Linked DNA regions of Drosophila melanogaster. The protein of the gene in region 2 purifies or fractionates together with the protein of the main gene of each other region. This does not show direct contact. Each region holds a gene or a part of one and is shown on either strand. Other genes may lie near its edges.

Region 1 (4,047 bases), on a different chromosome or scaffold from region 2:
AAGGGAGATGATGATGATGAAAATGAGAATGAGATGACTGAAGATCATGATGAGGTGGAAGAGGCAGCTGAAGAGCAACACGATGATGTGGAGTTCATTGAAGAGGAGCCGGGCGAGAAGAGCAATGATGTAGAGGTCACTCCTGAAGCGGAGGGCGAGGAGTGCGAAGAGCCTCATCAGGAGGAAGAGAATTGCAACGCTGAGGTGGTTAATGAAGACACATGCTCCTTGTAAGCAAGCCGATGGGTAACGGGATTCATGGTAACGAAAAACTTCCTTGATTTATAAAATGTGCTTTATATATCTAACTCTTTTCTTCTTCAATACAATAGGAACATTTTAAACTGAATAACACACCCTAAACATATTTGACATACGAAATGACATGACAACGGAACAAGGACAGCAGTATCGTGCAGCTTCACAAGTGAATTCTCACTGCAATATCAGTTCATACTGCCTCAAGTCGACATTAACCATAAGGATTTCATATTATAAAATACACCAAAGAAATATGTAATATACTTCTCAATAAACACTCACTACCACATTTAAAAACTGTTTTTTATTTAATGTGTCACATATTAAACATGATCGGGAAATCTCATGTGTAATTTTGCAACAATGGAAATACGAACGTTAAATATCGTAAAAGACGAAACAGCGTTTACATACATGCGAGTCATACCAACAATCGTCTTATCACTACTACTTAAGGATTTCGAATCCCATCGTCATTGGAGAATATTACATTTTAAAATACATTGGTTAAGATGCATGGCACGCATTTCTTCTGGCACAAGCGAACTAGGAACCGGCGCTGGTCACAGATCGACTATCCTCCGACTTGGAGTCAACTGGCCCATTTCCCCGCTTCACTGAAAACTGCATGTAGTCCTCACGCGTGGCTGCCTCATACTCTTGCACCAGGCAGTCAACAGTTTCGCGAGATTCGTCCAGCTCATTGAGGTCGTCCTTGAAGATGTCCTCGCGTCGAAACTGGTCAAGAAAGGCGCCGCGCTTGCGAAGCTTGTCATACTGGTTGAGAGCTCGCTCGAAAAGCGAGCAAATGCTGGTGTGGTTGGCCAGCATCAGTCCGGACACTCGATGGTTGCTCTGCACGTAGGGCGATGAGCGGGAAAGGGCTACCTGGATAGAGGTGGGGCCCCAGGGAATGAACTGGGCCATCTTGCGGTCGCGGATGCGCTGCAGTGACTTGTGCACTTGAGTGGGATCCACCTCGCCCTGGATAATGTTTAGAATGGAGATGTAGCAGTGATGATTTGACTTGTCGGGACCAGTGGACACCATCATGTTCTTGGGCTGCAACAGACGCCGCATTACATCTAGAACAGTAGTCTTTCGCACATTAACCAGCTGCTGGGTATGGATATCCGAATCGCTAGTCAGCGGCGTGTAGCCTGTCATGAGAAAATGCAGCTGGGGCGTCGGGATTAAAGGAGCCGTCAGCCCAATGAGATTGTTGTTCATGTAGGATGGATACCTCAGCGTAGTGGTGCTGACGCTCATTATGGTGGAGACCAGGTTGTTGATCTGCGAAAAGCTGGGATTCTGAATGTGCAAGCGATCGCAGGCAATACGATTAAGAGCAGTGTTGTCCAGGACAACCACACTGTCCGCAGCCGTAGTCAAACGTTTCAGGGTGAGCATGGAGTTGTATGGCTGCACCACTACATCACTGATCTCGTCCTGATTGGGAAACACACTGAATGTTTGGATAAGTTTCTTGGGATAGCGGTCCGCCAGGCGCTCCATGATAAAGGAGCCCATTCCCGATCCCGTTCCGCCAGCAATCGAATGGCAAAGTATAAAGCCCTCCAACGAATCGCTTCCATCTGCCTCACGGTCAATGATGTCGAATACCTCTTCTTGCAGCTTTTCGCCCTGGCTATAGCCTGAGGCCCAGTTGTTGCCCGCACCGCCTCCGTGCTTGGATAGGTACACATTTTCCGGATTGTAGAGCTACGGGAGTTAATAGTAGGTTTGGCGCAAAAAATTAAAAGTTATTTAGAGAGGACTCACCTTGGAGTAGACCGAGCCCATTATGGTATTGATCACCCTCGGTTCCAAGTCCAAGAGCACCGCGCGGGGTATGTAGTGGTCGTCGTCCGCCTGGTAGAAGAACACATCCTTGCGGTCCAAGCCATCATTGGCAAAGTCCTCCAGCACGCCGCTAGGGGAGATGCCATGCTCCAGGCACAATCTTTTCCAGAACTCAAAGCCAACTGCGTTTAAACGATTTTAGCAATGCAGATGGTACTCGTCCTGATTTCAGAAACCTACTTTGATTGCCGCACTGCCCAAGCTGCAAAGTAATTATTTCACTTGGCATTGTGGTGTGTTGTTTCCGGCCAGAATCGTCAAGTGAAGTTTCGCGTTTAAGGTCGAATTAGTCGAAATAAAATAAAACACAACTAAAAGATCGTCGAATTATAACAAAATTTTTAAAAAATCCCACAGCGGGGACGTACTTTGTAATTTTAAGAAAGTCCAGTGTTGATAACACCGCAGCGTTTAATGGCGTCCTCATTTGAAAGGTGGCGCAGTGTGCCCTCTGTTATAAAATATATATGATTACTTAAGACCTTTATTGTGAATTAAATAAATAAAAATAAACATTACATTTTTCTACTTTGTATTTTGGAAAGGCAAAAAAGTGTTGGAAATCTAAGACTATGAGTTAGAAAGATCGAAACATGTCATGAATATCAATCTAATAGTTCAATACTAAGCTTAACTTGAATATAATTTTCTATAAGAAAGTTTTTCAATTAGGTTATTGAGCTCCACCCATTTTGTACTACTAATGACGTCGAACTATTTGTACTACTAGTGACGTCACAATGTGCAATATTTGCTCCACAGTCGTGTTTTTCCAAGGAAGGCACACAAATAGTGTTGTAAGCAGACCAAAGTCAAGCCGACCGGCTTGCAAAAATCGCGTTGCCCGCGCAGTTTTCTTTTTGTTGATATCGGGTGCTGAACCAAGCGACAGTGGCTCTGCAAAACAAGCAAAAGAAAAAGCTGGAAATCTGTGGAAGTAAATACAAGTCATTTTTGAGAACCTATCAGTCCGAGCAGTAGAACTCCATAATGCCGCGTGTCAAGGCCGTGAAAAAACAAGCAGAGGCGTTGGCATCTGAACCCACTGACCCCACTCCAAATGCCAATGGGAATGGAGTCGACGAAAACGCAGACTCTGCCGCTGAGGAACTCAAGGTGCCGGCAAAAGGAAAGCCGCGCGCGAGGAAAGCCACCAAGACGGCTGTATCTGCGGAAAACTCCGAGGAAGTCGAGCCACAAAAGGCGCCCACTGCAGCCGCGCGTGGCAAGAAGAAGCAGCCGAAGGATACAGACGAAAACGGCCAGATGGAGGTGGTGGCCAAGCCGAAGGGACGCGCCAAGAAGGCAACTGCAGAAGCAGAACCAGAACCCAAAGTCGATCTACCAGCTGGAAAGGCAACTAAGCCACGTGCCAAAAAAGAGCCCACTCCTGCTCCTGACGAAGTGACGTCTTCACCGCCTAAGGGACGCGCTAAGGCTGAGAAACCAACGAATGCCCAGGCCAAAGGACGGAAGCGAAAGGAGCTGCCGGCAGAAGCAAATGGAGGGGCCGAGGAAGCAGCAGAGCCGCCGAAACAACGGGCAAGAAAGGAAGCAGTACCAACGTTAAAGGAGCAAGCTGAACCAGGGACAATAAGCAAAGAGAAGGTGCAGAAAGCTGAGACAGCTGCCAAGCGGGCACGCGGAACCAAGCGTTTGGCAGATTCTGAGATCGCAGCTGCTCTCGATGAGCCGGAAGTGGATGAGGTGCCGCCAAAGGCTGCTAGCAAGCGAGCAAAGAAGGGAAAGATGGTTGAGCCATCGCCCGAGACTGTAGGAGATTTTCAATCAGTACAAGAAGAAGTGGAATCGCCTCCAAAAACTGCAGCTGCACCCAAGAAACGCGCCAAGAAAACAACCAATGGTGAGACTGCGGTAGAACTTGAGCCAAAGACCAAGGCAAAGCCCACTAAACAGCGCGCT
Region 2 (4,922 bases):
ACTTTCGCGGCGCACGCCAAACTTCGTTACGTATCCGCCATGTCGTCTTCGAAGGGACGGGCAGCCATGAGTCATGGGCTGCTGGGCGATGCGACGTGCGCAGCAGCAATCAGGAGCATTCAGCCGTAGAGCGGAAGAAGAGTCTTCAAAGAGTCTGGCGCTCCTACGGACGGGATGCATCCCCAACAGGACGGGGGGTTGGACGACGGCACATGTGGGCCACCGCATCGTTGAAGATACTAACCACCACATACACTGCACCACGCACCGCCTCTGGTCGTTATTTATTTTGGGAATTGAGCAAACAGCAAAACGGCGACCGCATTAGAAACAGCAATTTGTGAACGGGACAAGAAAATTCTGCCAAACATTTTCACTCATTGTTTTGTTTTGGCATTCGGCTATCGCTGGTTACTATGGTGGTAATGAAAATCAATGGTTTAAGCCGACAGCTGAGCGACCTGGTCACTGGGAACAACAGGTGTGCATTTTGAACCGTGCCGGAACATGTGTCTCTTCGTTTAGCACCTGAACTTTGCCGCGAATGCATTTTAGGGCCCTCACATCGACAGGTAAACTGCAGTTAACAGCCCATTCTCACCTCACCTGGAACGCAGACGCGACTCATCTACCTGGCTGCCTGGCGCGCCTCGAGTGGGTGTCAAACTATGGCCAACGACACACAAAGGCGCCTGCCTTAATCAACAAAGAAATACAATAACAATAAACAGAAGTGGATCGAGACTATAGCGAGTGATATGCGAGGAAAGCATCTTAAGACAATAACCATATGACGAAGGACGCACTGAATCTTGAAGGCTTTTGAACAGGATGTCAAATGTCACTCATATTCATAAATCGAATCAAAACATTCATAAAATATGCAAGATGTTTATTGTTCAAAATTAGAAAGGAAATTTCAATTGAATAAGAAATAAAATATAACATTACTCAATTAAATTATGACTAAAGTGTGTTTTTTTTTAATTCCTTATTTAAATTTAAATGAATGCGATAAAAACAAAACTAAATGAGCCATTTGCATGATAAATTCTACTTATGATCCCTCAAATTACATATCATACAAACGATACTGTACTTTACCAACCAGGATGCTTTGTTTTTCGAGGGTAGGGAAGTCAGCGTTGCAGTTTTGGAAGGGCAACAAAAGAGGTGCTCTGTTCGGTTTTTACCCCATAGGGGTTAATTCCACGAGTCCATGACCCCTGATGAATGCACATGTGTATATAACTAACTAACCCACACACACACACATGGAGCATACGACGAAACTGCAGTCTGATAAGACGACTTGTGACGAAATTCAGAGTTCCAGGAAGTGCGAAAACGCAGATAATGATATAGGTTGTTGCGGCTGTCGATTGAGCCATGGAATGCTCTATTTCACAAACAAATTAATTCGTATACTTTTTCTCCGACTAAAATTAGCCGCAGCATCGTGGCGACAAAAACGACAAACGAACAACAACAACAACAGCAGCAGCAGCAGCATCAGGGGGCACAAGCACAGATATCTTTAGTATTTCTAAGTATATATTACATTTATTGTAAATCCGAGCACACTTTGTACTTTATATATCTGTGTATTTCGATTTGGTTTTTTGTTTTTCATCCGAGAACCACCAGCATCCCACTAATCGCTTATCCACAGCAACGAATGCAATAAATTACAAATCAATCTATCACTTTTTGTATCTCGCAGTGCAATATAAACAATTGCACTTATGTACAGATATGTATGTACAATCAATCACTCACACACCCGCACAACGCTTGACCCGCTGATTGTTTCTATTTACATATATGTATGTATATATGGGTAAGTGAGTATATAGATATGTATGTATGTACATATGGCACGATTGATAGCCGAGAGGCAAGCAAAATAAACCGAAAAACGCTCTCTGCACGTCCAAATAAACCGAAAGCTAGAACATAACTGACTGAAACTGCGATGCGACCGATTCAGAGCGACCAAAGGCAGAGCAGCAAACGGGCGGAAAACTCGGGCTCATCTGCGAGGAAAAAGGAAAATGCGCTCAGCAGATGTTACGCATTTCCCAATGCCGTACACAGCGAGAAAGCGGTCAGCAAACTCAGTTCATTGGCTACGAATAGAATACAGAAATATCTGTTGTATACTTAAGGGATTACATTTGTGTTCCCAATTCTTTTTCTTTTAAATTTTCATTTTCATTAGGAATCAGAATAGTAATAGTAAATCTAAAGATTATAATAAAAAAATGTATTAAACTTTGACTCTATTCAGCATTTGAAAAAGTGATGAAGCATACAATCTTAAAAATAAAAGTACATCTTATAAGAGTACCTTACAAATCTTATTTCATTTAAAATCGTAAATTAATCCAAATCACTTAATGTTTTTAAAAAACATTTTAAAATAAATATTGATGGAAATTTAGCTTTAAAATTTTTTTCAGTGCAGATGTATTATTGTTCCTCTCTTCGAATTTTTTGGGGTGGGTAATACGCCCATTGTACGCCTGTGCTTGTGAGTATGCCTCCCCCTATGGGGCCGAGCAGTACGGATGCGGGAGAGCTCCAGCTGAGAGCGTTAGTTCCCGATCACAGTGGGCACGATCACCATGTCACATGGCGATCATCTGCTGCGCACTCGCAGTTGCCAGGGATTTCGATGGATTTGCCACACAAGTCTTATTGGTAAGCTATTGTTTATGCTAGTGTTTTGGACTTACTCGTCTATGCTTTTGGACAGTGCCTCGGCTAGTTTGCGCAGGACCCTTCTGTCGATTTCGGCGGCGCCATTCTCCTCCAGGAAACTGGTCACGGTCTCAATTAAGGTGATTTCCTTCAAGGACGATGCACAGGTACCATTGCCGTCGCCGCAATAGTCCCGCAAAACCTGTTTAGACTGGTCCATGGGAGGTCCTCAAATAGTTAACTTTCGCACACAATAATTCTAACACTTGACAATTTCACAAAGGACGCTAACAATTACACTTTTTTTCTGTTTGGAAAATGAAGCGCGCTGGAACAGCTGTTTCTGGCGTCAGTTATCGAAATGCTGCCATGCGCACTGGCAGCACTGCCGTACAACGGGAAAAAGTTAACACAGCGGTATGGCAACGCTGTTCGTCGATTTACGTTACTGCAAAGTCGATTCTTATCGATGGTAAACAACATCGACGGTTTACGAAAATTAGCATTCGCCTGATAAGCAAGTAGAACACTACGGCCACCAGATATAACGCCATGCTATAAACGCTCTGTGGGCACGTTTTCGTCAGCCCCAGCCACAAGCAGGCCAACTTCAGTCGGGGGCAGTACACATACAGAAAATAGAGCAGCGCAACAGAGAAAAAGCTCCCCCCTCGAAAAACCTAACAATGTTTGCTACACTGAAAAACAAGATCAAGGAGGAAACTGGCGATGATGTGGTCCAATCAGCCAATCAACGTTATCCCGGCAACAACAACAACAATTACCGGCTACGTAGTCGCCGCGTTAGCATTAATTCCAACTCAGCTGATGATGTGGGCGGTGGCGGATTCTACAATGAGGTAAACTGAGCGAAAAAAAAACAGTCTATTTGTGTATACTTACACATTAAACAAAAACACGGATAAACAAACACCTTCACTCTTTTCGCAGTCGGAGCAATTGTGCGAGCTGCGAAGTCAGTGCAACGAGCTCACCACGAAGCTGTCCACCGTCACGCAGGGATTGCAGCAGCTGCAGGAGGAGAAGACGCGCGTGGACAAGACCAACGAGATTCTGCTAGAGAGTGTGCGTGTGGCCCAGACGCAGAAGGACATATACTGCGAGGAGCAGGAGAAGATTCAGAATCTACAGCAAATCGAGATTGACAAGCTGAAGAATCTGCTTAGCTTTCGGGAGCAGGAGTCGGTGGATCGCATGGGTCTCATGCGCCAGCAGACCCAGCAAATCGAGTCCTTGAGCGAGGAACTAGAACGTCTGCGTCCCATTGAATCCGTGGCCGAAGATTTACGCGACGAACTAGAGCAACTGCGACATTCTACACAGCAGGAGAAGAATCTGCTGACCACAACACTGGCGGCTGTACAGGAGGAGAACCGGCACCTCAAAAAGCGCATGAAAATCGTCGAGGAGTCGCGACTCGAGTCTCTGGGCAAACTGAACTCCGAGCAACAAGTGCAAGCCCTTATCCGGGAACATAAACTGCTGGAACAGCACTTAGAGGAGGCCCATCTGCAGTTGTCGGACATCAAAGGCTCGTGGAGTGGCCAGAATCTGGCGCTGGAAACCCAAGTTAGTCGTCTATCCAAGCAAGTGGCCGAAGAGACCACCGAAAAGCGAAAGGCCCTTAAATCCCGCGACGATGCCATTGAAAGCCGCAAGCAGGTATCATTCGAACTCGAAAAAGCCAAAGATGAAATAAAGCAGCGGGACGATAAGGTAGGTTAGATAGTAATACCTATGTGCCAATACTTATGCACTTTAATTGCAGGTCAAGCTGCTGGAGGAGGAAATCGATGAACTTAGTGTGGCCCTGAAAGAGTGCCGAGAGGAGAACGAGCAGCAAGTCCTCTTTGAGCGCAATAAATCTGTGAGTATGCCTCCCGATTCTGACGATTTCCATTGGGACTTGTAACACTAATTTAACCAACAATGCAGTACTAACTCTACCAATTAAGCTCCTGGTTTACTTGGAATTTTCCAACCACACCTATTATGTAGTTTTTGATTGTAAATGTTTTCCTTTTCGTATTAAACTGATTTAATCGTTGGCAAACTTTTTGGTAAACTTTTTCCTTCAATAATGCACGCATATATATGTTTACCCTCAATATCCAAAACTGATTGATGGAGATTTTGTAAACCAATAAACCGAATGTTCTCAGCAAAATTTGGAAACAGAGGTAAAAGATCTCAAGACT

The links. The genes of interacting proteins can lie anywhere in the genome.
Region 1: the proteins of cnn (region 2) and gammaTub23C purify together in Drosophila melanogaster (affinity purification with western blotting, with the first as the bait; 3 studies listed by BioGRID). This does not show direct contact.

What each region holds. Positions count from the first base shown.
Region 1 is NT_033779.5:2,971,365-2,975,411, reverse strand, and holds gammaTub23C (gamma-Tubulin at 23C), read right to left. Parts: upstream 2,522-4,047; 5' UTR 2,354-2,521; coding exon 2,305-2,353; intron 2,247-2,304; coding exon 2,044-2,246; intron 1,984-2,043; coding exon 808-1,983; 3' UTR 554-807; downstream 1-553. Other genes in the region: CG9641 (uncharacterized protein), read left to right, coding at 1-234; Rrp1 (recombination repair protein 1), read left to right, coding at 3,115-4,047. UniProt on the Drosophila melanogaster protein: Tubulin is the major constituent of microtubules. The gamma chain is found at microtubule organizing centers (MTOC) such as the spindle poles or the centrosome, suggesting that it is involved in the minus-end nucleation of microtubule assembly.
Region 2 is NT_033778.4:13,447,436-13,452,357, forward strand, and holds the start of cnn (centrosomin), read right to left. Parts: upstream 3,041-4,922; 5' UTR 2,924-3,040; coding exon 2,739-2,923; intron 1,966-2,738; exon of another isoform or gene 1,562-1,965; intron 1-1,561. Other genes in the region: Golgin97 (golgin 97), read left to right, coding at 3,390-3,563, 3,655-4,440, 4,493-4,591, 4,887-4,922. UniProt on the Drosophila melanogaster protein: Core component of the centrosome throughout spermatogenesis. May participate in mitotic spindle assembly and the mechanics of morphogenesis through an interaction with microtubules, either directly or indirectly. Is a target of several homeotic genes.